Regions from separate parts of the Mus musculus genome. Here all the other regions are reported to be linked to region 5. Evidence: microRNA targets listed by miRTarBase, many of them from high-throughput screens and not tested one by one. Region 5 holds a microRNA gene; each other region holds the end of a gene's coding sequence.
The links. Region 5 holds the annotated microRNA mmu-miR-200b-3p (UAAUACUGCCUGGUAAUGAUGA, at 2,552-2,573, shown strand). A microRNA usually pairs through its seed, bases 2 to 8, with sites in the 3' UTR of a target mRNA and lowers its output. Matches are read on the target gene's strand: a 7mer-m8 pairs with bases 2 to 8, a 7mer-A1 pairs with bases 2 to 7 and ends in A, and an 8mer does both.

Region 1: miRTarBase lists Pkd1 as a target of mmu-miR-200b-3p. Seed matches in the 3' UTR shown: 8mer at 3,261-3,268, 7mer-m8 at 3,088-3,094 and 7mer-m8 at 2,798-2,804.
Region 2: miRTarBase lists Zeb1 as a target of mmu-miR-200b-3p. Seed matches in the 3' UTR shown: 8mer at 1,878-1,885, 7mer-m8 at 1,972-1,978, 7mer-m8 at 2,386-2,392, 8mer at 2,731-2,738 and 8mer at 2,801-2,808.
Region 3: the mRNA of Mapk14 is a reported target of mmu-miR-200b-3p. The part of its 3' UTR that is shown has no 7-base or 8-base seed match.
Region 4: the mRNA of Mtf2 is a reported target of mmu-miR-200b-3p. Seed matches in the 3' UTR shown: 7mer-m8 at 2,875-2,881 and 7mer-m8 at 1,735-1,741.

Annotation. Positions count from the first base shown.
Region 1 is chr17:24,592,720-24,598,888 of GRCm38, reverse strand. Pkd1 (polycystin 1, transient receptor poteintial channel interacting) reads right to left here. Exons shown (of 46, transcript NM_013630.2): 39 at 6,166-6,169; 40 at 5,543-5,684; 41 at 5,288-5,413; 42 at 4,916-5,090; 43 at 4,511-4,801; 44 at 4,294-4,428; 45 at 3,912-4,217; 46 at 2,375-3,817. The coding sequence ends at 3,350. It overlaps Tsc2 (TSC complex subunit 2), which reads left to right. Exons shown (of 42, transcript NM_001286713.1): 37 at 519-705; 38 at 858-997; 39 at 1,606-1,684; 40 at 1,752-1,843; 41 at 1,936-2,034; 42 at 2,123-3,073. The coding sequence ends at 2,284. Among named protein-coding and RNA genes, the nearest start is that of Tsc2, 37 kb to the left of the region's middle.
Region 2 is chr18:5,771,492-5,777,821 of GRCm38, forward strand. It overlaps Zeb1 (zinc finger E-box binding homeobox 1), which reads left to right. Exons shown (of 8, transcript NM_011546.3): 8 at 938-3,977. The coding sequence ends at 1,575. Among named protein-coding and RNA genes, the nearest start is that of Gm34740, 120 kb to the right of the region's middle.
Region 3 is chr17:28,743,474-28,749,561 of GRCm38, reverse strand. Mapk14 (mitogen-activated protein kinase 14) reads right to left here. Exons shown (of 12, transcript NM_011951.3): 11 at 4,406-4,579; 12 at 1,157-3,291. The coding sequence ends at 3,224. Among named protein-coding and RNA genes, the nearest start is that of Mapk13, 23 kb to the left of the region's middle.
Region 4 is chr5:108,106,552-108,110,551 of GRCm38, reverse strand. It overlaps Mtf2 (metal response element binding transcription factor 2), which reads right to left. Exons shown (of 15, transcript NM_013827.3): 15 at 1,333-3,964. The coding sequence ends at 3,607. Among named protein-coding and RNA genes, the nearest start is that of Tmed5, 24 kb to the left of the region's middle.
Region 5 is chr4:156,051,928-156,058,257 of GRCm38, reverse strand. Mir200b (microRNA 200b) reads left to right here and starts at 2,508; the gene lies at 2,508-2,577. Gm13648 (predicted gene 13648) reads left to right here. Exons shown (of 2, transcript NR_132444.1): 2 at 4,229-5,543. It overlaps Mir429 (microRNA 429), which reads left to right and starts at 4,271; the gene lies at 4,271-4,353. It overlaps Mir200a (microRNA 200a), which reads left to right and starts at 3,273; the gene lies at 3,273-3,362.

The sequences.
Region 1 (6,169 bases), not on the chromosome of region 5:
GTTGATATGCAGAGCTGTGAGAACTGCAGGGTGCATACATGCAATAGCAGAGTTCTGAGGTCCCAGGATGGGCCACTGAATGAGTGTAGCTAAGTGGCAGGACAGAGGGTCATCATGGACAATCTCACAGCCCAATATATAAACATGAGCCATACTTTTCTTATGAGGTAGGGACCCTGGACTACTTTGAGCCACCGTTATTAATGCCGGCATTTTGAAAAGTATCCCTCTGCTGTGTAGTGCCTTGATGGAGTTAGGTGATCACTATCCTAGCGAGAGGAATAGGATTGGGTTTGGTTGCAAGGATATGAAGCAGTGCTAAGGTTCTGGGTATGTTGATTTTGCTAGCTGAATGTATTACGGGTAGAGAAGGGAGGGAGGCCAGGTGGCACCCAGGTCTATAGACTGGACAGCTGTAAGCATGACAGTATTGAGTGGGGGATGGCTTTCCATCCGTGCCGAGCCTGCCAGGTGACTCTGAACTGTTAACTATTCTCATTCCCTGGATTTCCCCACAGAGCAGCAGTGAGCTGGCCATCCTGTCAAATGAGCATGGCTCTTACAGGTACACGGAGTTTCTGACAGGCCTGGGTCGGCTTATTGAGCTCAAGGACTGCCAACCAGACAAGGTGTACTTAGGTGGACTGGATGTATGTGGCGAGGATGGACAGTTCACCTACTGCTGGCATGATGACATCATGCAAGGTGTGTACTCCTCTAGGTAGGCCTGCTTCCAAGCCCTGCCTCTGGAAAAAAATCAGGAAATCTGGAGGGATACAGAGGTCTGAGCCTGGGCCCTAAAGTCCAGCATTTGGTGTCCTGTCCTGGCACCCAGTCCAGTGTCACCCACTCTACAGCTGTTTTCCACATTGCCACCCTGATGCCCACCAAGGATGTGGACAAGCACCGCTGTGACAAGAAACGGCACCTGGGCAATGACTTTGTTTCTATCATCTACAATGATTCTGGTGAGGACTTCAAACTGGGCACCATTAAGGTGAGTGAGATTTCCATGTGCGATTGCCTAGGCAATGGCTGTGCTCTGCCACTGCCATCACCAGACTCAGCAGCAGCCCAGGCGGTCTACAAAAATGCCTGCTGATGTATTTTGAAGTGGCCTTGAGTGTCTTGGGAGGGTACACTTTTGGGAGCCCCATGCACTGGGACAGGCTATCAGAGACACAGGAGACATGATCACAAAACCTTCCTTCATATATAGGATGAGCTGTGGCCCTCAAGACTAACTAGGTGAATATGTCCTGGTGGGTGTACAGTGCTCAACAGGAGTGTACTGTCTGCTTACAGTGGCTTTTAAGGGTCCTTGTTGGACACATTGTAGCACACTTGGGTCTGCACGTATCACAACTGAGAGGAGATGAGGCAGGGCTCTGGGAAGCTAGTGTAAGGGCCCATGGGCAGTATCGTCCTGGGAGAACACCCTCAGCTCTGTCCTTAGGCACAGTCGGAAGCCTGCAAGGCAGGGTGTATGTTTTATGCTAAACACATAAACCTGCATGTTTAGCCAGAGATGTCAAAGGCAAGTGGGGAAGCAGCGTGGCCTTCAGCACATGCTCATGCCGGGTGACTTTCCTCTCCTTTGGGCAGGGCCAGTTCAACTTTGTCCATGTGATCATCACACCGCTGGACTACAAGTGCAACCTATTGACCCTGCAGTGCAGGAAAGGTGAGGCCCAGGCTGGGTAGGGTGGCAGTTTTGGCCTGAGCTGGGTATGAGCATTGTGTCTCCACAGACATGGAAGGCCTCGTGGACACCAGTGTGGCCAAGATTGTGTCTGACCGCAACCTGTCCTTTGTGGCCCGACAGATGGCCCTGCATGCAAATGTGAGTGGTGGCGGCAGCCTGGGGAGATAGTCGTGTGGGCGCTCCCTGTTGTGATGGAGCTCACTGTCACCATCCTGCTCTGTCACCTCCAGATGGCCTCACAGGTACACCACAGCCGATCCAACCCCACTGACATCTATCCCTCCAAGTGGATCGCAAGACTCCGCCACATTAAGCGTCTCCGCCAGAGGGTAGGGAGGACAGGCTTCAGAGATGCGATGTCTGAGTCTGGTTGAACAGAACTTCCGGACTCACTGCCAGAGCTTTCTCTCTCTCTAGATCCGTGAAGAGGTGCACTATTCCAACCCAAGCTTGCCTCTGATGCACCCTCCAGCCCACACCAAAGCCCCAGCTCAAGCCCCTGAGGCTACACCCACCTATGAAACAGGCCAGCGGAAGCGCCTCATTTCCTCCGTGGATGACTTCACAGAGTTTGTGTGAGGCCAGCAGATCCATGACTAGAGTCCTGTGGCCAGCCATGTAGCTATCCTGACTGTACTCCTACATGAAATAAACTGCACACGCACATCTGGCCCGTGGAGTTCAGAGAGCAGCACAGACAGCAGTCAGACAGCTTCTTTATTTGACTTTGTCTTGTCTGTTTGGGGTTGGGGCAGAATCCAGGCTAGAGCTGCAGATGAGCCCACAGAAGCAGGCAGGTGCCATCACATACATTCTCTTTCCCCCACCCGCCATGGGGGCAAGCCCCATTGGTGGGCTTGTCCAGTAACTTCTTGGCATCTTTCATCCCACAGTAGTCCTGCCCTTGCTCAGATCTGAAACCAGCAGATCTGCGTGCTGCCTGGCCCCAGACAAGGGAGGAAAACAAGGCCACGGTGGCCCCAATTGCTGTCCAGCACCTGCCCGAGGCCAGACTCGGATCCAGTAATAGCTGCAGCTTCCCCTGTACCCCTGCCCTGGGTAACAATGGACCCATTTTCAGCCCAAGTAGAAAATACTGACATACAAAAATATATACATTTTAACCCCATATAAATTATTGATGGTGGACATAGAAAGCAGATGGTAGCTAGAGGGCAAGTATGCTGCAGAAACAAGAGAGGTAATAACTTAGGGGACGGATAAAGGAGAAGTGTAGCTTAGCCCTCCCTCCAGCTTAGATTTTTAGCAAGAGGAGATGGCCACCTAGGGGTAGAGCTGGGCGCAGCCCGCTGAACCTGAGGACTTGGGGGGAGGGGGGGCGAATAAATTAGCATCTTGGAGGCTGGGTACTCACTTGGTCCAATACTGCTGTGTCCTCCTGTGGGGAGGGGACCCTGGGTCCTGGCTGGCCACACAGCCTTTTTAAAGTGCAGAAGCCCCATATGTGGACAGGTAAGGAAGGCAGCAATACCTGTACCCAAAAGAACTGGCATGCAGCCGTTCTGCCTGGCCCAACCTAGAGGGCAGCAGAAGGTAATACTGAGTGGTGTCCACCCTGGCTCTGAGAGGCCAGTGTGAAGCTCAGGCATTCCCAGGGAAGGGAATGGCCAAGACCCCTAGGGCCTAAGTGCTGCTGGGGTGGACCTTGTTATTAGGCCACAGGGACACCCTGTTGGGGCCTACAGTCTGATCCAGCCCCTGACTGGCCCGAGAAAGGCGGCTGGGCAAAGCTGGCTGAGAGCCTGGGAAGCAGCCAGGGGAGGGAGAGGAAGGAGGTCCATTGTGCCCATGGCCTTGAAGGCTCTGGAGTTGTTGCTCCAGCTGGTAGACGTCCTCTGTGGCCTGGTTGAGTCGGTCAAACTGGACAAGCAGACTTTCAAACACAGCATGGAGGCGAGAGGGCTCTGGTTCCAGCTTCAGCGTCGAGCGGCTTAAGCTGGCGCTCGGCCCGTCTGGTTGGCTGGACGAGGTGGATGGGTGTGAAGCTTCTGAGCCTGAGCTAGGTGGGAGCACAACTGGGGATGACTTGGAGCCCCTGGATGAGCGGGAAGGCAGTGGATCCATTCCTTCAAAGCGGACTTTGTGGCGGAACTGGGGGCGGCACAGGGGCTCGGTCAGTCCGGCTGCACCCTGGGCTCGCGAGACCCAGGGTGTGTCCCTCTCCCCCCCACTGGGCCGTACCCACCTCCTTGACCTTGCTGAAGCCCATCCAGAGCCGAAGCCTACGCAGGAAAAGCTCCACCATCTCATAGTCCTGGGGTTCCCATGCTGGGCGGTAGAGCTCGCCACGCAAGGCGTGGTACCGCCAACGCAGGAGGATAGCCCCTAACCTCAGGGCACCCCACACTCGCAGAGCCCAGAGCCCCACACACAGCAGAGGGGACAGGTACCAGGACTCTGAAGGGCACAGAGTGGGGACCCTCGCCCCAGGGCACAGCACCAGGAAGGCACGGGCCATGTTGTAGAGAGTGTCAGCACCAGAGGAAATAAGCTATGGAAAAAGAGATGCAGGTGAAGGCATAGCCTGGGGGAGGCCCTTCCCTGGGATACCACAAACAGCGACCTACCAGGATGGCCATCTGTGCATAGGCCACACCAAGCAGCACCAGGCCCAAGGTGGCTCCCATGAGCTCGGGCAAGGCCCGACACAATGTCTTGCCAAAAACAGACCACTGGCGCACAAACCGCAGCTGCTGGGCAGCCTGTGGATAGGAGGCAGTCAGCTTTCTCCCCAGCCATGGCAGTCTGATCCTAGTCACCACCAGACCCCACCTTTGACCTCACCTTGACCAAAAGCAGGAAGAGTAGTGAAGCTGCCAGGCCACGGGCCACAGAGCCCAGCTGAGCCACTTGGTCGAAGCTAGTGAAGTGGCGTGGATGGTCCTGCACAAAATGGGTCCACTGGCGATCAGCAATGCCCAGCTGGGCCAGGCGTACAAGCCCTGTAGCTGCTGTCAGTATCACCAGTAGGCACCGTGCCCAGGTGTCAGGCCTTGCTGTGCACGCACACCCATCTTTGCGCCAGGTCTGCACCTCGGCCATGGAAAAGTATAGGGCAAACAGCAGCAAGCACACCTGGGGGTGGGGGGAGGAGGTTGAAAGGAGATACGTGACGGGTGTTGTCAAGTGTTCAGATTCCTGTGGGCATGATCAGGATCCCGAGGAAAGATGTCAAGTAGAAAGGCATACCGAGGTGAGCAGTGGTAGAGACAGGCCAGTGCTGAGTCGCCGTAACGCAAATGGGCGGACACTGAAGGCAGCCAGTGCATGGCCGGCTACAGGGAACTCGAGGCGCAGTGTAACAGCAGCATGGAGCCCCACAGCAGGGCTGTAGCGGGTGAGTTCTACAAACACTGCACGGCTCCTGCATGGAGGGTGCTGTCAGCATGAGGGGCCGTGTGCACAGGAGCATAGGATACAGGACACGGGAGACACCGGAGGGAGGGAGGGAGGGGCACAGGGGATTCAGGGCTAGGCATGGGGGCAGCAGGCTACAAGTGAGGCTCAGAGCCTGCCAAGGGAGTGGCTACTTTCCTACCCATTTCCCAACTCAGCACCCACCTGCTGTCAAGCCAGTTGTGCAGCTGCAGGAAGCCCAGTCGTGCACGGCTCTCCTCCAGACTCAGTCCTAACTCCTGTATGTAGCCCCCACTGTCATACACTGCACAGTAGCCCCAGTACCAGGCGCTGTGGAGACAGGGCAGGGTTGGAAACTCCCTAGTCCTGAGAGTATCTGATAGGCATGCCCCCAAGGGGGCCAGAAGATTCTCTGGAGAACGTCACCCAGGTGGGGCCTTAGGCTCTTGTTCTACTCACCCCAGCAGGTCCGGTGCAGAGTAGGCCCATGTCTCAGAGCCATTTTGCACCACACTCTGCCAGCCAATGCCATAGTCACTGGTGCTCAAGCTTCCTGCCGCTGAACACATGTGCTCCGAGCTAGAAGGGTCTGGGCAGAATGCTAGAAAGCAGAGAGCCAGGACTCAGGACATACCCAATGGGTGACTCGCTCTTCAACTGAGCGGAGGTCCTGTGCTGTGACCTCCCCAAATCTCCTAGCCAACCATGAGGCAATTATGATGTTATAAAAAAGCAAAAGAAGGGGCTGGAGAGATGGCTCTGCGATTAAGAGCACTGACTGCTTTTCTGAAGGTCCTGAGTTTAGATCCCAGCAACCACGTGGTGGCTCACAACCATCAGTAATGAGATTGGATGCGCTCTTCTGGTGTGTCTAAAGACAGCTGCAGTGTACTTACATGTAATAATAAATAAATCTTTTTTTAAAAAAGGCAACAGAAGAAAACTAACGAGGACAAAAGTTATACAGTTAAGTAGAGTTCAAATAGCTCAGCTGCAGGTTGCTAAGGAAGCAGAAGGATGACAGAGCATGGACCACCATCCCCAGCAGGGTGACAGAACATGGACCACCATCCCCAGCTTACCTTC
Region 2 (6,330 bases), not on the chromosome of region 5:
ATAGCCAACCAGTTTCTCTCCAACAAGATGGCTAGATGAAAGACTGGTTTCATCGTAACTAATCCCCAGGATCTTTTCCCTGGCCCTTACCAGCCACTTACCTACAGTTGAAGTAGCAACACACAGACCCTCAGCCTCTCACCAACAATGGTAACTCATTCCCCTGGTGAGAAGACACGCAGAGAAGCGGGACACTTGGGTGGCTGCTGAGGTTGAAAGCTGTACCTCTCTAATAAAAGCTTGGGACCACAGCCCTCTACTTATATTCACTGAGATAATTAGGAAATCTCCTAATTCTTTAAAAAGAGTTAAATACTGGTAATATCAAAATTAAAATGACATCCTAGCTGTAAAAAAATTTTCAAAAGTAATTTCTGGATTTTTAAGTGTTGACTGGCTCATAGCACTGTAGTTGGTAATAGCCAGTCCTGATTATGCCAGCTGTCCTCTGTGTATCCACTGTTGCTCAGGCCACACCCACTCATGAGGGGCAAGATTGCAGCCTTGTGGGGCAAAAGCTATTTTAGATGTTATAAAGAATTTCCACATCAGCTCTACATTTGTGAAAATTTGCCCATAAGTAGAAAGAGCTGTGAGACATCAAAATGCCGTGGAAGCCCCTCTTCCTGAGATTGTCACCCTGGCTCATGGGAGCCTCACTTATAAATGTTCTGCCATGTGGTCCTGATGTATGAATTTTTGGCATTTCCACCTTTTATAATTAGCACTGGCCTCATCTGCAAAGCAGTGTATAACCTTGAATTTTCACATAGAAAAAAATGAACCATAGTATTATCGTACAATTGGGAACCTGCCAGTTTCTTGACCATGGAACTGTGACCCTCCCCTTGCACAATCTGAATGTCCCTTCATTCTCCCAAGCACTCTGTTTATTTCTGCCAGTGTTCTGTTTCATAGCTGCGTTCTTACCTTGCAGGTAAGAGGCCTCACGAGTGTGGAATCTGTAGAAAGGCATTTAAACACAAGCATCATTTGATTGAGCACATGCGGCTGCACTCTGGGGAAAAGCCCTATCAATGTGACAAGTGTGGCAAGCGCTTCTCACACTCCGGCTCCTACTCTCAACACATGAATCACCGCTACTCCTACTGCAAGAGAGGAGCTGAAGACAGAGATGCTATGGAGCAGGAAGACGCTGGGCCCGAAGTCCTGCCGGAAGTCCTGGCGACTGAGCATGTTGGTGCCCGGGCGTCTCCCTCACAGGCTGACTCGGACGAGAGAGAAAGTCTGACAAGGGAAGAAGATGAAGACAGTGAAAAGGAGGAGGAGGAGGAAGATAAAGAGATGGAAGAATTACAGGAAGGAAAGGAATGTGAGAACCCACAGGGGGAGGAGGAGGAGGAGGAGGAGGAGGAAGAGGAGGAAGAAGAGGAGGAAGAGGAGGAAGTGGAAGCGGATGAAGCCGAGCATGAGGCAGCAGCCAAGACTGATGGTACAGTGGAGGTTGGAGCTGCACAGCAGGCAGGCAGCTTAGAGCAGAAGGCCAGCGAGAGCGAGATGGAGAGCGAAAGCGAGAGTGAGCAGCTGTCTGAAGAGAAGACAAATGAAGCTTAGGAGTTCTTCTAAAAGGAAATTCTACTTGGTAATGAAATTTGCTCTATATTACCCACGCTTTTCATGGAAACATGGCTCCATGGCTCCTGTGCTATGGTTCCTGCTCACTACTGTGTAATGTCAGAACTGAAAAAAAAAAAATTCCGGGTGTGCCTGAACCTCAAACCTAGTAATTTTTCATGCAGTTTTCAAAGTTAGGAACAAATTTATAACATGAAGCAGCTTAGAAAACATTAATGACTCAGAAAACAAAGGTTTCTCAGCAGGTTACAGGAGGCTGGATGGGCGTCCGGCATGGCTAGCAGTATTATCACTCTTACGTTGGCTCATTCTTAAGCTCTACAATGGGAGAAATTTTATAATTTTTTTATTGGTAAACATATGCTAAATCCGCTTCAGTATTTTATTATGTTTTTTAAAATGTGAGAACTTCTGCACTACAGAATTCCCTTCACAGAGCAGTAGAAAGCAGTTCAAACCGTGCTGGCTACCTGCTGCTACCCAGTCAGTCAGGAGATAGGACCTCTGACGTTAGATGCCGTGTTGCCATCTAACATGTATTGCTAGCCTTAAGGAAGCAGCCAGAGAAGAGCTGGAGTTTCTTACTCGTGTGATTTTTAAATGGAGTTCAAAGGTTGTCGTTGAGTCCTGACTCCAGGGACGACCAGTGTTGATGTGGCAAGGCCGGCAGAGGCGGCAGAATCAGTGTTCGTGATTGTTTGCGTACGTTAGCAACCATGAAGGATCTATAGGAAGCAAGCGCTGTGTCCCTTTGGCCTTAAGCAAGACCTGTGCTCTAAGTGCCATTCTCAGTATTGCAAGGCTCTGACAGCCTTCCCGCAGTGTGGCCTATATTAACTAGCAGTTGTTGATTCGTTTGTTGTGTCAAAATTCCCAAACAAAACTCAAAACCACTGACTGTGAGAGAAGCTGAAGCACTGGGGCATCTCACACTTTTGTTCCTCAGTAGTCATTTCATGTTGATTGACTCTCAGAAGTCTCTACAGAAATAAAAGGGAAATTCTCCAAACTACTTAATCCATGTACTTGCGTGTCAGGCATGGATACGCTATTGGTTTTTGGTTCACAGCCGTTTTCCAAATGTTAGTTATTACGGACCCAGGTGATGAACAACAGCAGCTGATTTTTACCTACCAGTATTATTTTATTTCTTTTAGTTTATAGATCTGTGCAACATTTTTGTACTGTATGTCTTTAAGCCTGGCAGTATTAATACCCTTCTTACTGACACGTACTTTTAGTTTTAGAAAACTTTTATATTTATGTGTCTTATTTTTATATTTCTTTATTTATTACACAGTGTAGTGTATAATACTGTAGTTTGTATTAATACAATAATATATTTTAGTATGAAATTTTGGAAAGTTGCTAAGATTTACAGTAGAGATGCAGTTGGTTCCCGTGCGTTGAGATTTGATTTAACAGTGTTCTGTTAACATTTATACTTGCCTCCGACTGTAGACCAGCCTTTAAATGGGAAGGTATTAGTTTTACAACTACAATCAAGTCATTCTCCCTTTCCCCAGTTTTTAATAGGAAACTCTTACACTTTGACACTCACTGTGTGCGACTCATAGCATGCCGCTCTGCAGTCTTCTGTTAAGAGTTGGCCCAGCCATAACTCATTCCCTTAGCAAGCCAAATTAGAATTGCCTTCTGTAAACAGTGTTGGGAACAATGTTTAACATGTGCCAATTTGTTCCTGTATCCATGTATGTAAGCTACCAATCTGACTCTTCCTTTTAAGTTCCTTGTTACACCATGGTCATTTTCTAGTTTTTTACCAGACTCCCCAGCTCACAATAAACGCATCAACAAACCTGACCTGCTGTCGTTCTTTGGATCATCAAATTTCCTTTGGAAAATTGTCTATGAAGTGGGCATTACATCCTAGAGCTTCATTCATCTTGAGCTGAGTTTGTTGACACAAAGTATTTGAGACACTTAGCACAAAGAATGCCTTTTCCTGTGGGGGAAATTCCCTGAGGAAGCCCTCTGCACAGGTTGTCCCTTCTTCCAAAACCCACAGAGCAAGAGCCTTCCCCTCAGGGAACATCAGGGCTGTGCAAGCTTAAGATGCTTTTTGCTTGTACTCTGCCACTCTTTGAACCCTTCTCATTCAGCTCAAGGACTGTCACTGATGTTCCTCCCCATGTCATGGTCATGCCTCATGTGCCCCCTGCCCATGAACTGCCTCTCAACAGACATTCATTGAATGAACACAGAAACTGCACATTTGCAGAGCTTAGCTGTGCTCACTGTTTTGCCTCTAATCTGAAAGTTCATAAGGTAAATGATTCCCATAATGTGCCGGTGGTCTTGTTTGAGTCTTATAGGCACTTACCATAGGAGATGTAATAAATGACTGCCTTGGAAGCTGCTCTGTTGTTGTGATGTGTGGAGAGCTTATTTCTAGGTGTCTTTCGGGTGCTCAAGTTTATGGTACGGGGTACAGGCATTGAAAGCTCAGGGAGGGACTACCTCGAAAATACTTGATAGACCTGGTTCTGACAGAGTTAGGACACACATCCTATGCCAGGACCCCACATTCTTACAATCTTGTGTGCTCCCCATCTTCCCACACCACAGCCCTTACTTCCCCTGTGTCCACTGTCAGCAGACTGCCTAATTTCCTGTCCCTAACACCAGCTATACCAAAAAAAAAATGTACTGTAAAGGTTATGAGATGCTAAAGTACCATTCTTAGGGGATGTCCACTACTCATGAAAGTAAATCTTGGAGAAGATGGTGCCTCATCCGTGAGCCTAGAAGGCTAATGAAACTAACCACATTATCAGGGAGCAGGTCTTTCCAGTGCCCCCTCACACCAGGAAAGAGTGGCATTGGTGTCCTGAGATGCATCTGCCTTGCTGCTTTTATCAAGATTATGTTTCAGAGAGCCTTAAAACTACCTGGGAAAGCCATATGGCCATAGCCACATGAAGAAGACGTAGAATGGGGCTCTGCACACAGACCTGTCTGACTCCAAGGACATGTCTCTGTCCAGCCTGCATCACATGTCATGTTGAGGTGGATTCTCCTGGCCTAGCCCTAGGCAAGAGGAATAGAAAATACCCCTGAGAGCAGCATGCATCCTGGCAGAGGAAGGTGGAGACTTGGGATTGTTCTCAGTTTCCAGTGCAAACTTGAAAGATAGCCTAAGGGAGGGAAAGGGGTTAAACTCACAGAGAAATCTAATCCTGGATTCCACCTGAGATCACCGGGAAGCTATATTAAAGCAACCATGTATTAATTCTACCTCTGACAGAACTTCAGACCTACAGACACACCTCTGCCCAGTAAAGACAAATTCACCCAGAACACACATTTATTTACCTCAATAACTCCTGGGTCATTTACAGGGAAAAAACATAGGGCATAACAGAATTCTCACTTTTGAGATGGAAACCAGCCTAACTACTCAGTGGTTAAAAAAAAAACACCCAGAATGCCTGACGACCTGAGTTCCATCCCTAGCACTCCAGAATCCCAGAACCCACAGTGGAAGGAGAAGACCAACTCTAATATTGTCCTCAGACCAGCATTTGCATGCCATTCATGCACACACATAAACTAATCATAAAATTGTTTTAAAACACCCATAGATCAGTAATAAATACATTTTTAAATCATCTAAATTATTACAAAGCCATATCAAGTTGTTCCTGATGAAAAATATGACTCACAATGATGGCATCTTATGTCAAAAATTGTAGTATAAAGTTAAGTGATATGTACAAGAGAAGGCACAGTGTTAAATGCTGACAACAGGAGAGAACAAAGGACTCATACAAGCCTCCACCTCAAACTGTACAAGTAAAACACAAAACAGGAGAGAGCCGATAATAAGGAAAAGAGAAAACCGTGACATAAAAAAGCCATGTAAACCAAGTCAACCTCTGAAAAGGTAGATTTCTAGCCATACAGTCCGAGGTAGATAGAAGAGACAAATTGCCAATCTTGACAGAAACAAAGAAAAGCCATCTACAGACCCTACAGAGTAAGATACAGAAGGAATAACTGCATGTCCATGTTTCTGACAGCTTGGGGAAAAGTGCCACATTGCTTGGAAGGCCATAATTACCAAAGCTCATGCAGAAATAACCTAAGTGCAATCAAAACTAAATTGATTGCCAAAAGCGTCCTACAAAAGAGGATTCACAGCAGGTGTTGCTACTGGTGATTTTTTTGTTTCATACATTTGAAAAAGTTGTACCAATTCTACACAAATCATCTCCTTCTCCAATTGCCTGTGAAGCTCAGATCAACAAGGGCATTTCAATACAAGAGCTACAGACTTAAATTCCTCAAGAAAATAGATGGAAAGACCTTCAACTGAATATTAGGACATTACTTTGAACACTTTATCAACAGGAAAAATGAATCATGATTACGTGTGATTTTTCCCTAAAACTTCAAGATTCATGGAGCATCCCCAAAAGTCAAGTAGTGTTACTCCCACTAACAGTGTACTTAAGAGTGCTTGGAGATTCTGATTATCTCAGAAGTGAAAGAGAAACAATCAATAAATAAATCAGTAAAACCTTCAACAGCAAGCCAGAAATTACCAGCAGTCTAAAAGTAGGAGGTGATCTCTGTAATAATTGTCATCTTCAAAACCTCTACAAGTAAAACACCAGTGTGAAAGGCCCACACCTTCCTCCAGATGAGGAGCAAGACCAGAAGGTTACACTGGCTAAACCTTAGGCTGGGTCCTTTAAGGACAGACTGCAG
Region 3 (6,088 bases), not on the chromosome of region 5:
GCCCCACCTTCTGAGGAGGCTGTGTCCTGAAGTAGACTATGCCGGCTAGCCATTGAGCCTGAGAGTCTATCTGTTGCTATACCCCCACCTTTAGGATTGCATGTTGCCGTACCTAAGTATCTGTTCAAGGGTTTGGGGATTGAACCATGTGTTTCTGGCTTTCAAGGCAAGCCCCTTTGTTGACCCAACCATCTCCCAAGCCTATCCTTTGGCTTCTACAAAAGTTCTCTGTGATGTTGCAAAATTCAAATAAGGATACTGAAGGACACTAAATGTTCCATTTGAAAATGGAAACCCAGGATCACTTTGTTCCCGGGATCATAGCTGGAAATGAAGAACACACTTTGGTTGACCATTCTGGGGTAACAGTAGCTAACAAGGGCCCTACCCTTTCCTCTTCCCTCCTGTACTCTAGAGCTACCTACACCTCCACGACAGCTGAAAACCTTTTCTGTCACCTTTGTGGGGGCTCAGGAAAAGAATGGCGTCTACACTTGTGTCTCTTCAGGACAAAAAGCTCAGCTCTGTGAGTGTCCTCAGGTTAGCTGGGAGACCGTGTCATCAAAGCCTGAGAACCTGCTGTGAGGCCCTGCAGCCTTCTCATGCATGATACAGCTCACTAGTTCTGAAGAACAATTTTAGGGTCATGAAGACAGCAGAGTCAAACAGATGTCCTCCCATCCTGCACTCACAGGCACACAACCTAGCCTTCTCTTTGGCAACTTAAAGATAAAAATACATGGTGTATAAAGTTTTAGAGTATTTAGTCAGAAAGCAACTTTTGCTAAACATTAAGCAGCTACCTGGATAGCCCTGCAGTCTTCGCCCCTCGGATTTCAATTGTCATGGTATCAGGAAAGTAGCCACAGAAGATACGTAACAAACTCTGTGGATATTCTCTGATCAAACCAATTACTTGAAGATGTGAAAAACATTCATTTCAGACTGTACAAGAACAGTGCGTGTGGACGCACACTAGGCCACTCTCCCCATGCGGTTCTCTCTGCACAGTAACTCACTCACTGCAAAGACCTGCCTTCCCCTCAGGTCCACCTAAGCAGCTTTAGAAAGGGTCTGTCAGACATGTGCTAGGTCACAGCTGACAACAAAAGTCCCACAACCAAGAAGAGGAACAGAATAAACCTGAGAAACCAACTGAATTTGAAAACTAGGCTTTATTTTAACCAGTGGTATTATCTGACATCCTATGGCATACCAGATTACAGCCAAGTTCACAAATACAAACGAACAGCAGTTTTCTCGTTCCCTTGTCTTCTGATGAAGAAACTGGGTGGTGGCAGCATTGCGCTGTGGATGCCAGAACTCTTCTGCCAGTTCTAGCTTCGAGTCCAGTCCCTGGAACACAGCCCCTAACACAGCATGGTCACATGTGCAAAGATGTCTTCAATGAAATAACCAGAGCAGAATTGTTGGAAATCACACTTGGCATTCAAAAACAGACACTGCTACTAACCCATCTTGATGGGATGGCATGGAGTTGAACTGCACACTGAGGTGGTGAGACCTGGCCAGTCTGCCTCCTTCTGGGCTCCAAATGATTCAGGGTCCTCGCCTGCCCCACAGAGCAGGCATGTCCCTGCACTGAGAGGAGACACCTTGACCTAAACACAAGACCTGTCACGTCCAACACTGGAATTGGCTTTACACTTTCTTACTGCACACAAAGCTTAAATATGGGTCCTTATATAGCACAAAGTGCTCAAAATTCAGAAAATTATGCAAACAGTTCTTCACCCCTGAGGATTCATGTTTATAAAGGTGAAAATACAAAATATTAAAATAATTTGCCCTTTCTCCCCATCAGAAGGAACCACACTCTCTAAGGATTCCTACAACATACAAAATTCCAAGACAAAACTGCTTTCTCCCCAAATTGACACTGGATTCAGTGTCAAGCTGCCGGGGGGTGGGGGACCCTTCCGAGGAGAGGAGCGGGGCCTTGATGACTTGGTTTGTGTCTAACAACCCTTTTGAGAAAGATAGTAAAGGAGCTCCTGGCTTCAGGCGCTCTCGTCTCTCCCTTTGTTCAGCTTTCTTAGCTTGTCACCATGAGTGAGGAGAACATGATTTCCAGAACCGGGGATAGTCCTAGGAGAGGACTCGTTTTCCTGAATTGGTGACATCAGATGGCAAGGGTTCAGGTGCTCTCTGTCTGTCCTGTTTTCCTGCACCATGAGCACCTGGAGAATCAATTGTGTTCAACACAAAGTAGCTGGAGGAGGAGGAGGGAGCAGTGTGCCCATGGCGTCGGTGGGCGGAGGCAATGTGGACAGGAACTTCTGGGAAGCCTTCACACGCCTTGTCCAGGGCTTCCAGAAGACAGGACAAGCTCCAAGAGCACAGCATGCAAACACATCCGTGCTCTGCTAGATGTGAAGATGACACAGGAACTACTGATGGCAGGTGCCTGTGCTCGGCACTGGAGACCTCTGCACTGAGGTGAAGGGTAAGCACAGCAAACAGCTTGCTCCTGAAGTGAGGGAGGGCGGCTGCACATACACGCATGCACACACATGCACCATGGCCTTCCTAAAGGCTGCCTTGTTTTTTCCAGCTCCCCACTGGCCATCCAACAGCCCCGTGCACTTGCCTGGCTCAGAACGTCAGCAGCTGAGACTCTGTAACTATCTACGCGCCCTTCTCACCCTTTTAAGGCACAAACAGACTGACAGTTTTGAACATACCTGTCAGGTTCTGAGGACATTAAGCAAGCCGGTCACAGGCTAGAGACCAGGAGCCAGTTGGTTCTCTTGGACTTTATGCATGGCTGAGGGATAGCCTCAGACCTGAAGCAGCCTCTCTCTGTCACTGATATGGTAAAGGCAGGGCCACAGGAGAAGCCAAAGTGGCAAGGTAACTAAGAACAGGGATATTTTCATATTTCTTACTTTGCACTGAACACACACATCCCTAAGGAGATGACAGTTCCCATCGGCCTGCCCAGACTCTGAGAAAGCAGGCAGACTGCCAAGGACCATTCACAACTCATAAAGTCACTACCATCACAGTGACTTCCACAAAGATAGGTGGACAGACGAACAGACAGACACACACACACACACAAACACTAACACATACATGCACCCCCTTCCACCATGAAGGAATCTTTCAACAAGAGGCACTTGAATGGTATTTGGAGAGTTCCCATGAGAAGGTCTTCCCCTCACAGTGAAGTGAGATAGACAGAACAGAAACCAGGTGCTCAGGACTCCATTTCTTCTTGGTCAAGGGGTGGTGGCACAAAGCTGATGACTTCATCATAGGTCAGGCCTAGGGCAAGGAAAGAAGGAAGGAAGGGTGAGGCGTACAACTCCGGCAGGCAGACACTCAGCCCTTCCCTCCTGGCAGTGGTCTGATGAACTACATCACCTGCCTTGCTCCTGCCCTGCCCTGCAGCAGAGCAGCTCCAGTTCAAGGACACAGACAGAACTGTCTCCCCACTCCATCATGCACGGTGCTCCTTCTGAGTGCTCCCTGGAGCAGCACTGCACTCTGCACACAACGAGGCAGTCCTAACTGCAGAACTGACCTTGTGCTTTATGAAGGAGTATGACTGGGGGTGGAGATGTGGCTCCATTCCTGGCAGTCCCTAACTAGGCCAAAAGTAAGCTATAAAAAACTCCTGTCCTAGTTCTGTGCTGAAATACGCCAGACCCTCTTTATCCTGAAAAGATGCTGTAAACGTAAAACCGCCAAGCACCTCAAAGCTCTGTCAGTTTGAAGGCTCTGCACTCTGTGTCTGCAGCCCATCAGGGAACATACGCATCAGAGACCCTGGCAGTGAGCTCAGAAAGCTGCTGGCAACCATCCACGAGGGTTTTATTCAGACAGGTTCTCATGTAGCCCAGGATAGCCTCAAACTACCTACACAGCTGTGAATAACTTTACAGCCTGGTTTTTTTTTGTTTGTTTGTTTGTTTTGAGACAGGGTTTCTCTATGTAGCCCTGGCTATCCTGGAACTCACTCTGTAGACCAGGCTGGTCTCGAACTCATAAATCTACCTGCCTCTGCCTCCCCAGTGCTGGAATTAAAGGCGTGCGTCACCAATGCCCGGCTTCAGTCTGTTTTTTTTTTTAACCTTAAACTTTTAATCTGATTCCCAAGTGCTGGGATCATAGGTATGTTGGAAATATGTGTGAGTCCTAGGTCCAATCTCCAGCACTGTTAAAAAATATTACATAAACGGGACTTGGTAGCACATGCTTTTAATCTCAGCACTCGGAAGGCACAGACAGATGGATCTCTGAGTTTAAGGCTAGCCTGATCTACAAAGTGAGTTCCTCTGAGTGGCTACACAGAGAAAAACCCTGGCTCAGAAAACAAACAAAACATGAATAAAATGAAAGCAAGCTCAAAGCCCACGCTAGCCTGCCCTGGACTCACTCTTCCACTCATCTATGAGAAGGTCCCTGCTTTCAAAGGACTGGTCATAAGGGTCAGCAACAGGCTCATCATCAGGGTCGTGGTACTGAGCAAAGTAGGCATGCGCAAGAGCTTGGGCTGCTGTGATCCTCTTATCTGAGTCCAAAACGAGCATCTTCTCCAGTAGGTCGACAGCTGTCACACCAGAAAAGAGGAAAACACATGACATCAGTGCCACCACTGTGCAAGTTCCAAGCACCTTTCACATCCACACAAAGCATCCTTTAAGGTGTCTGCTTCTGCATGTAACCCCTTCCCTCCATGTACGCATTGAATGCCTATGGCACATTTTAAAAACATTACTGAGGTTCTGGGTTTGAAACCCAGAATAATAAACAAACACCCCCTCCTACCCCCCAGCTCTCCTTCTCCATCCACCTTGGTTTTCATTTGTGGACACTGCAGGTGTGGCACACCACCATGGAGGCTTCCTTCCCCTCTCCTTATGCTGTGTGCACTCTCTCCCATTTCTCTCTAGTCTTTACATTTACCACCTCAATTGTTGGTAAGAGTGAAATTAGGCATACTGGGTGAGACCATGCCACAGGTGATGCTGTGACCTGGGGCACCACAGCCAGGAGCTCCATTTATGCTGAGCTAAGGTGGTTGGCATCTTGAGCTCTTCCCCGTTTCTCCCCAAGTGAATAATATGGGGAGATGGTTTGTCTCCTGGTGATTATCAGTTACTTTCAATAATGGCTTCCAGGTTTTTTCTCTCCCAAAAGTAAAACAGAAATAAACTCCACAAGTTTTTAGATTTAAGGTTTTTTTTTCTGTTTGTTTTTCGAGACAGTGTTTCCCTGTGTAGCCCTGGCTGTCTTGGAACTCACTCTGTAGACCAGGCTGGCCTCGAACTCAGAAATCCGCCTGCCTCTGCCTCCTGAGTGCTGGGACTAAAGGCGTGCGCCACCACGCCCAGCTAGATTTAAGTTTTAAGTATGTCTCCACTACAGTGCATGCCTGCTGGCTGAAAATCTAAAAGCCAGCAGAGGGCGCTGGATCCTCTGTAAGTGTAATTAAAGACAGTTGTGAGGCATCCTGTTGGTGCAGGGACTCAGACCAAGGGCCCCGTTGGCCATCTCTACAGCTCCAGATGATTTCTTCAGCGTGGAAGGCTCCATGGGTGTCGAGGAGAACTTCCTGAAGAGATGCTATACCTCTGCTCCTCTGAGTGATTATGTACCCTGTAGCCTGAACACCAGTTATCCACAGAAACGCAGGCTTTGAGGGTACAGAGGAAACAGCAAACATGCATACGCTGGCTCTCCAGTTTTAGAGTGCTGGAGGAGGGCTGGGATATAGCCAGTAAAGTTTGCAAAGTGTGCATAAGGCCTTGGATCTAAACCTAGCACTGCAGACAGTGAGCATGGTGGCACAACAGGCCACATGACTCTGTCTTCAACACTGAAGCACTGGTGGACTTCCTGGATACAAATCCTCACGTTCTACAAATCCGCTGACTTTATACTGAACATGAATGAGTGGGTGCCTGCTACCCTGGGGTAAAAAGAGGTCCACGTCCTCAGGATCAAAGCACTTAGATGAGGAACAAGGTCAGAAGTAAGAACAAGACTTTTCAAGTATGGAGGCAGACATAAATAGACACTCTAAGATCAAAGGGCAATGTGAAGTTCTCAGCTGTGT
Region 4 (4,000 bases), not on the chromosome of region 5:
TATAGCCCAGGCTAGCCTCCAACTCTTGATCTTCCTATCTCAGCCTCTCAAGTGGTAAGAAATACTAGCATACATCCACACACTGACTTTATTCTAATTTAAAAAATAAAGTAAATTAATATTTCATGTAGCTATTACTCTGGTATTATAACTTACAAACATTTGTATATATACCATCTATTTGCTTAGAGATGCTGCAAGTTTCTCACATGTCAGAATGTATCAGAATTATCTATGAATCCTAACTAACACCAATTAGAAAAATACCCATGATCAGACAAAGCTTTTACTTTACATTTAAATGTCATGTTTTCATTTCCATGATCAAAAACTATGACATATCAAATGCCTTAAGAGAAACTGAATGGGACTTCTGGAGTTTTGTACTCTTAATTCAGAAAAGAAAATTTCTCCATACAGAGGGCCTTGGGGGTGGGGGGAAATCTATCTTTAATTATTACATGGGTATCTGTTAGCCTTAAAACACCCTCTTTCAAAATTTAATAACTAAAATTTAATAGTACCTAACAGGAGTACAAATCAGCCAAAAATAGAACTTCATCCCAACACTGATAAACAGAAATCTAACTATATCCATGAGAGAAAACAAATACTCAACAAAAAATAAAGATGGGACAGTCTCAGCTCTCAAACGTGCCCGGATTTCCAATAGCTATCGTTCCAGAAAGACCTGACTCTTATCACAATGTGGGTGCACGTCTCTCTCTCTCTCTCTCTCTCACACACACACACACACACACAGCCCGCACACGTGCGCGCATGAAGTCAAACACTGAGGATTTACAATTATTCTGGTAAGGCACACACACTCACTTAACTGGTTTATCCTAAAGAACAGGGTGGTTACAAATGAGCGATTACATAAGGTCTCCTATGGTCTCTTTTGGAGCTGCTGCCAAGTCTCTCTGAGCCTTTTCCTTTCCTTCTACCTTCTACCTTTTTACAAAACCTGGGAATACTTCCACGACGCTTTTCCTAAAAATTTCCGCTCCTGCCGTGTAGCTGCTTGCTGAACGTGCCAGAACCTAACACAACAGGACTTTGTCCTTTTCACCTACGCTTACCTATTCCAGCAGCTGCCAAGATTCACAGCTTCTGTGCTCTCTTTTTCTCTTAAATGCTTAAAATGAAAAAGGAAGGAAGGTATATTATTTTACAACTTTTCTATTCTGTAGATTAGAGTCAAAAAAAAAAAATAGCAAAAACGGGAAGTCTGTTTACATGTGCCCCAATACCTAGGAAGAAGAAACAACTGTGAAGCCTGATTTTTCTACAGTCTTTGGAAGAGGAAAGGACATAAACACTGTCTTTCAAATACAAAGCATGTAATCCTTTTTTAAAAGATCACTCACAGTGAACATACACTATTATCATTATGACAAAAGGAAATGGAAGCAAAGTTCTTCAAGACTAATTCAAGTATATAAAAGAATTGGAAAATTCCTCCTCCCTAGCTAAATAAAAGCAGTTAACTGCTGCACCAGTGTGTATTTTCAAGCAGATACAGAAGAAAAACTCATTAGCTCTTTTAAAAATACACACATTTAATGTTGGTCTGTTTTAATTCTAAGTAAAGCAATTTCAAAAATACAAACTGAACATCAGAGCCATGTGAACCACCATGATAAAAGAAAACAGACATTCACAATAATTAAGTCTAGAGACAGTTCAGCTTGATAAATTGTCTTCCAAGTATCTTAAAGAATTACTAAAAATACTGCTGGTGTTCAGTTAAAATTAAAGAACTTTGGGAAAAATGAAATATGATACAGCTGGAGTGAATAAGGTTACACGGGAATTACATTTTCCATTACCCCTAGATATAAACAAACATTCAAAAATTAACACAATCTCTGTGTTATTCAAAATATTGCAGCTGCAGGAAAGGCAACTTTAAATTAATAGCTAGGGGAAATCAAGTTTTGGTGGAGGTGAACAGAAGTGACAGTTTGTAATTTGCACTTTGTAAAGCTCATTATACCTGGTTAACCAGGAACCAAAAGCAGGACAAGAAATTCTCTGCTTCTTTTGGCTACAATGTGACAAGAAAAGTCATCTTTTGAAGATGCTTAAGGAAATAAAGCATGTTTCTTTAAAAACAGGCAAATAATCAATTAATGGAATAAATAAGCACTAACCACAATTTTAGCATTCTGTCATCAATACACGTCACATATTTTTTCATTTTGGCAGAAATTTCCCCAATTTTTAGTCTAAAATCCACCAATCATTATAAAAGTAAAATGAAGAGCTACCAAAATAATATTCTTCTGTTTACTCTTTGGCTAAGAAAGAAAACAACAAGAAAAAAACCAAACCAAAACAAACCAAAAAAACAGAAGACAACTCTAACACTGGTGATAAAAGAAACTTTTTTTTAACACGTAAAATAAAGATATCAATTTAAAATCTTGGTACATTTTATAAAAACAAGAGGTAATGTTGTAATAAAACAGCAGTTAGCCTCAGCTAGCAACATACTGTTTGTTAACCCTGTGCAATAAAAGACTTTGTTCATACTACGCTTACTCAAACATGACTAACAGTTACTACAGACATTTCAGGAGTCTTCACTGGGCTCCCACAGACTTGCTGTTAAAACTGAGACATTTACAATCATAATGTGCCACAATCACTTGAAAACGTCACTTCTAATAGGAAATAATGTAGTTATCACTCGAATTTGTTTTAGGTATTCAACAGCTGAGTTACAAGGACTGAAAAGCCCTCTAAAAGCCCATGTACACTGTTGTTCACACCCTTCTTCAGTACACACTAAACTTGACACATTTCTCTTCATACATAGCAAGCAACAGCACCCAATAAACGCCTGAGAAGAAATGCTGCTGTGTAAATACTGCAACTATTCCTGAAATAAGAATTATGGGATATATACTCCAAAGCTGCCCATTCCCATAATTTGTATTGCATAGGTCACATAATCACACACATATATATACACATGTGTGTATATACATGTACATGCAAAGAATATATTAAGACGACAATGAAGTCTAGTCACAGAGCAATTTACAGGCTCAATATATTTTTTTACATTTTGCTTGAAAGAAATTTCAATATTTTACAGTCTTTCAGTAGACATTATATACACTGCACTTTATGAAATCTAAAGGGTATTGAAATAAATCTTTCCAACATTTTGTTAACAAAACACACAATGTTTCTCCAAATACTTGTGCTATCTACATGATCTGTTTGCTCTGATAACCACTAATCACAAAAATTGACTCAATGGAATAATTATAAAAAGTATCTAACACCATGCATGGGTATGAATCATGTTTAATAGCCTATCCTAGAAACAGTCTACAAATCTTAAGATTTAAAAAAATTAAGTCTCTCCTCTGATTTTTAAAAGATATCTTTTTTTATGACAATATCCATAACATTGACAAGAACATGTTTTAAGGCCAGTATCATCTCCTTTTGTGAATATTTTTGTGTTTTCTCTTTGTTTGTTTTTCTAAGAAAGATAATAAAACCCACACTCTGTTTTTTGTTTTTTTTTTTTTTAACTGTACCAACAGAAAACGAGTGCAGTGAACATTACGTTCAGTCCTACAGTCAGGATGCAGTCGCTCCTTCCCATTCCACAAGATACTGCACCTTCCCATCAAGCGTCACCCGACGAGCCAAAACTCTGTATTTTTCGCCACATGCTATTCTACCTGCGGCACCAAAATAACTAGTGATGGAGTTTTTCAGGTGATTGAGCTGCAACTCCTGATCTGCTAAGTTATTCAGAATTTCTGTGTTAAGTTCTTCAAACTGATAATCTTCTTTGCCTTCATCATCTTTCACAACTTCTGAGTTCTGAGTCTGGAGTGCTCTTCGTGGAAGGCGACCTCTTCTTCTCCGCAAATGTGGTATTGCAGCAGGCCATGATCTTCCTGTGCGAGTTCTTTTTCTAGAGTCTGATAATCTAGGGTAGGGAAAAGAACACATCTGCTAAGATCTT
Region 5 (6,330 bases):
AGTCCATTGTTAATTTTCAGGCATCTTGGTAATTTGCAAATACTTTATTTGCAAAATCAATTTGCCAGGATGTTCTTAGTGTGTAAAATGGCCTAAGGAAGTTCCCCGGTCGCAGGAGGCTGGCACTCAGGGGTGCAGTGGACCTGGAGGGTGAGCTATACAACCGAAGGGCTAAGGGACAATGCTGACGGCTGTGTGGATGAAATGGCGGCTTTGCCTTGAAGACACGCAGTTCCAACAGCCACTAAGAGGTAGCCTGAGTGTAGACAAGACAAGTCTTTCCTGCCCCCACCCTCCCCCTCCCACAGCCGCTGGCATCGAAGTTAGGAGAGGTTGACTTTCAGAGCTTTGTTCTCTGGCCTCAGCATTGATTAAGGCCCCTTGAGCAAGTTAACCAGCAACTTCCCACACTGGGAACGCGTTCCTCTGCCACAAATTCCCAACCTTCCCTGGCCTCGCAGGCGAGGATCAAGGCACTCTGGAAAGGGGGAGGGTGCTTGCTGCAGAGGAGCCTTGGGGGCACTTGGCTTCTGGATCCATTCCTTAATTTTCCTAAACTAAGCCTAGTAGATGCTGATAATTAGCTGTGGGGACCATGACCTGAACCTCACTTTCAGATACAACTGACCAGATGGGCACCACACAGGCTCCAAATAGAACCCCTGTTTTTGCTTTTCATTTCTTGACCTATGGCTGTAATTCTGTCATGTTTTTGTCTCTCCCTTCCCCCTATGCTGGATAAAGCAGGGTCCCCCATACTCAACAGTGCTTGGACACCAAGACACCCAGTCCCAACTCATGACTTTTAGAATCTGTTCAGCCTTTAAATTTTGCTGGAGGACCTACAGAATCTGCATTTTGAAGGTTGTACACACACACACACACACACACTGCTGTCTGAGCACCTGCCCCCATATATCTGACCTTTTGGCTTATGCCCGGGCCAGCTATGCACTTGGCAGAGTCCCCTAGCCTCCCATGTTCCCTAAGAAGTGCTCACCCTGAGTAGTCAAGGATGCAGGGATCAGGCTCATCATTAGATACCATTTCGTCTTCCCTGTTTCTTTGGCACAACCAGAAGGGGGAAAGGCAACATCCTTGGTGCTTACCCTCACCCAGCTCCCACACTCTTTGTGGCTCTGAAGCCACAAGGATAACTGAAATTCTGCTTAGTCCACTTAGTTCTCAAATAGAATCCTTAGTTTGCCAAAGCTCAGAGAGAGAGAGAGAGAGAGAGAGAGAGAGAGAGAGAGAGAAAGTCCTTTTGAAGCACCGGTTTTATGAATCTGATAGGATAGAACTAAAAAAGTTCGGGAAAGGGGAAGTATATCTGACGGGTGTTTGAGAGCACTGGGAACCTTGTAGGCGATAGACGAAGAGTTAGGACAGTTTCTAAAACCTTAGGCTCCTATAGAGTGTCCATTCCCATCTGCTCAGCCTGTGCTCAGGTCAGGTCCTCAGAAATGTTGGCTTTCAGGAGAGAGGCTGGAGAACTAGCGGCTGCCTGGAGGCAGTGACACACGCCTTCGTTGTGATCCGAGGAAATCAGTACAGGGCTTGAGCCACCTGTATTGTGTCTGTGATAGAAAAGACCAGAAAAACGAGAAGAAATACTTCTGTAAAGACGGACTTGGGATGAGGAGAGGCACAGATTGAGTCTCTTTCAGTCCCAAGTATCCTTGGGACAGGTGCTTAGTTTCTTGGCTCTGTATGGGAGACTACAGGCTATGTCCTTAGCAACAAAAAGATCTTTCTATGGGTATGTGATTATTGTATTCATACTGGGGGCTGCTTTTCCCATACGCTTGAAGTGTTGGATCCCTGGTCCCTCATCCCAGTATCCTTCTTGGGCCCTGAAAAAGGCAAGAGGGGCTGGGCAGGAAAGTAGACTTGAACAGTATCCTGGAGACAGAGGCCCACTGAGTGAACCTCATCAACCTTAAGTACACTGTGTACCCTAATGGGACTGGACCTGTTGTCTAGGCTATTCTGTAGTGAATATACTCAGATGGAGGGCCTGTCTATGACCTGATCCTGACCTGGCCATTGGTCACATGGAAGTCTACATAGCCTGCCTCCCAGCTCTTTCGGGCTGTCAGCCTCTGGGAAGGACTATTTGACCCTTCAAAGTCCTCACCTGGGCCCCAAGCTAGTCCACTGCAGGTCAGGTTTGGCTGGGCAGGGGAACTTGTCTATGGCCATGGGTGCTAAGTCCTTCCTCTGGGCCTTATAGAGAGGCAAGAAAGAGGCTTCAGGGCCTATAAGACCCCCATCCTAATTATTTTCCATCTAATTTCCAAAAGAGAACTTGATCTTACTTCAAGCTGTTGACCTCTCCACTACCTATCTTTGGAGATGAGAATGCAGGGCTTTCTGCTGTTGTCCTGAAGGGGTGCCCTCCTTCTGCAATGCTCTGGGGATTAGGACACTTAGGCATCTGGGCCCTGCCCATGGAATCTAGTCATCTTCAACTCCCTGCTAGGCGGCCTCCATATCCAACTTGGGCAGCCGTGGCCATCTTACTGGGCAGCATTGGATAGTGTCTGATCTCTAATACTGCCTGGTAATGATGACGGCGGAGCCCTGCATGCAGCAATGGAGCCGCCTCCTGATCCCAGCCTCCAGGGGCCCCAGTTCCACACCTCACCTACCTTATCCAAGGTAGGGCTATGGGGCAAAGAGTTAGCCTTGGCGATATGGGTGGTGGGAGGCTTTAGGGAGAGTTCCCCCAAACCAGGCACCTCTGAGGGCCACTCTATATCCTGGGGTGAGAGGCTCCTCCCATTGCCCTGGGGGCGCCCCCTCCCAATGCCCTGGGAATTAGGACAGTCAAGTGCCTGGGTTCTGCATACAATACCCAGGCAGGTGCTGCCACCACACCTGGCAGGTGTACGCTGGGTGGAAGTGCAGCAAAGGCTCTAAAGGGCTAAGTCTCCGCCTAGGCTCAGAGGGCCTCATGCCAAAAACTGCCTCACCTACATCTAGGAGCTGTGTACTGATTGACCCCCTAGTGGGGCTACTCAAGCCTGGGATACCTTACCTTCCTGCATCAAGTGAGCACCGACCTATTGACCAACAGCACCTCCAACATGCACACTGAGCCAATGTGTCACTGTCCCCTTGCTTTGGACAAAGCAGACCGTATGAGTTAGGGTCAACATCTCTGCTGGCTTATTGCGATGCATATACGGTCTCTGGCTGTTCATGGCATCAGGTTTCCACTGGGCCTCCCTGAGGGTGGAAACCACCTGTGTCTTCCTGCCAGAGCATACCTGGGCCTCTGTGGGCATCTTACCGGACAGTGCTGGATTTCTTGGCTTGACTCTAACACTGTCTGGTAACGATGTTCAAAGGTGACCCACCATTCGCCGAAGACAGGCTGATGATACACACTTGTCCTCCTGGACTCCAGTTAGGCCGAGGCTGGGTGCTGGGTGCAGAGGGCCTGTCTCAGCTCTACAGATCAGCAGTCAGTGGGGGCTGGACTTTGACCCTTGTCTATTACTTCATGCTGGGACAAGGGATGGTTTCACCATGCCAGGGGTACTGGAGTAGAAGTGGATTGTCACTCATTCTCAGAGCAGCGATGCCCACCTTTGCCAACTCCTCTGCTGGATTTGGGGGTTCATTGATTCCTAGAGAGACTGTGAGGGTTAGTGAGGATGCTGAGCTAGGTAAGGAGACATGGATAGCAGTGTTAGCATAAGGACTGTCAGTGCCTATGGGACCAATGGGCAAGGGTGGGTTCGGGGACCTGAGCCTGGTACACAGAATTGTGACGTCATCAGCTGTTTCCTAATTAAGAACAAGGAATCTCTATTCCTTCCCAATGGCTTTCCAGAATAGGAACTTTGCCCCAAACCAGAATCCAGGATTACTTCTTATCTTTCTTTACTTGGAGCCAGAGTACAGGGTCAGGGAGCCCCACCCAGTATCAGCCTAGATGACTCTTCCGGGGGAAGGAGTCTGTTCCTGGCTTTAATGTTACTCATTAAGCTGACAGCCATTCAGAAAACCAAAGAGGTGCTATGACGAGCATTTGCCAAGTAAGAGTGAGCAGATGACTCTCCTGTTGCACCCACAGACTTCCACACTTGAGGAACAGGCAACCAAGCTGGGCCCTGGTAAGAAAGTCCTTAGAGTAGTCCCAGGTCCTAGAAGGGTGAACCCCAAGAATGGCCCTTGGACCAGAGCAGGCAGGAAGCCAACCCTGGCCTTCCCTCTACAGGTATCAAATCCAACTGCCCAGATGGGGAGGCCCTTGTACTGCCCTGCTGATGGATGTCTTACCAGACATGGTTAGATCTGGATGCATCTGTCTAATACTGTCTGGTAATGCCGTCCATCCACGGCCTTATCACCGCTGGAGACGACATCCTCACCACCTCGTGGACACTGGGTAGAGACAAGACCTTAATCCATCTGTTACAACTGTCCAGAGCTGGGTTCATCAAGCCCTCTATGCAAACAGACCACAGTTTAAATATACAGGCCCCGCTGAGCCTGACTGCCTTCCTCTGACCCTGTAGTAGCTTTCGGTTACAGCCACAGCAGACTGAGGCCTCCGTATCCATCCTTTTCAGGAATAGTCAGTGGGGCGGTCACAGTCCTCTTGCCCTCCATAGCCCACTGGGCTCCACACAGAGACTTCGATCTGTCGTCAGCTGTCACCTGCAGATTCTGTAGCCCCTGTGCTATCAACACTGGTAGGAGACAAGAGGAGATCTAAAACCTTGGTCCTTTGTCTCCTCTCCAAAATTCTCAGGTCATGGAACCAAGGAGAGTAAAAGCAAGTCTAACCACTGTGCCCAAACCCGGAGTGGAAAATAAGTATATGGGTTTCAGGGACAGGGGCACTGCCAAGGTGCCAGACCAGGTGATAGTGACTCATACCCAGGAATATGCACAAGGCTGCACAGCTCTGCCGTTGTCAGCCTGCTTATGAGCTCTTCCTATGCATCCCACCTCTGGCTCTTAGGATCTGAGAGTCATCTTTCAGTCTAACTCTGGATGCTGAATGGCCCGATCTTAAAGATCCCACCCCCACCCCATGTCCCTGAGAATTTTCAAAAGGCTGTTGCTAAAACGGTTGCTCTAGAATGACTCCCAATGCTTACATCATTTGCTATATGGGGAGTTTGAGTGTTGCTGTGATAAGAACTAGAAGTGAACCTCTTAGACCTCATCTGCAAGCTGCTGGCTTCAGTACCTAGACTTCTGCAAACCTCAAGTTGGCCAATACAGCCTGAGTCCAGCAGAGCCAAACCCTACCTCATCCACTGCCCTCTTGAAGGAACCCAACATGCCCTAACAGATTTCTTAGCCCTGGACAGGCCATTCCTCTAAAGAACCATTATAGGGACACTGGACTTCATCTTCCACAGAAACCTGCTGGGCTCCAAGTTCTATGTGGCTGAGGGACTTGTCCGCCCATCGTGCGCTCTATAATAGGTGGTCCCCTTTTTGTCATCTCTTCAAGCATTGTAAATAAAATGCAGGCAAAAAAAATCTTTGTAAGGCAATAAATTGTGTGATTTCTGAAATTTTATGTTGATCATCTCATTTTCACCGTACAAAACATTAACAAGCAGCCTTGCAAAGGATCAAGCCGAGGACACGGGGACTCCAGTGATCGGTGCTCCCGCCAGATAGAAGAGAGACATGGGGCTCATTGTACCCAGCCAGTCATTACACAAACCAGCTCTGGTATGCAATATGTACTCTAGAACCTACCAAGGACAGGTGAATCAGGAAAATGGGGGCTCCTGTCTCAGCCAAGAGTCAGCCTTGGAGTGAGAATTGGGTGTCTTGTGCAGGAACCAAGCCCAGGGTGTTATGAATGTGAAAGCAATCACTCCACCCCTGAGCTACAATCCCCAGCTCCTGGAGTGTGCATTGAAAATGTCATAGCCAGGATCAGAGACAGCTGGCTGCTGGTCCAAAGCCTCTCCAGGGTTGGGTGAGCTACCTGTCCAGCCTGGAGGCTTTCAGCCCCAATAACTCAGCCCAGGGTTTAGTAGAAGTGCTATGTGCCCCAGCCCACCTGCAGTCCCACTGTACTATTAGTCTAGAGCAGAGAGGTCTCTTGATCCAGCACTGGACTGACCACAGAGACCCCGACTCCCAGCACAGCATAAGAAGGGCAGATCTCACAAGTAGAGAATGACAACCTATGGGGCACTCCTATCGCCATAGGACTCTGGGCACAGCTGAGAAATGGTGCTCCTTCAGACCTGCCAAGCACAAGCTCCCACACTGGCAGCTTAGACTAGGGAAGGCCACGTGAGTGACTTGTCATGCCCAGCCTCTAAGGGGATGCTAGAGCCCCTT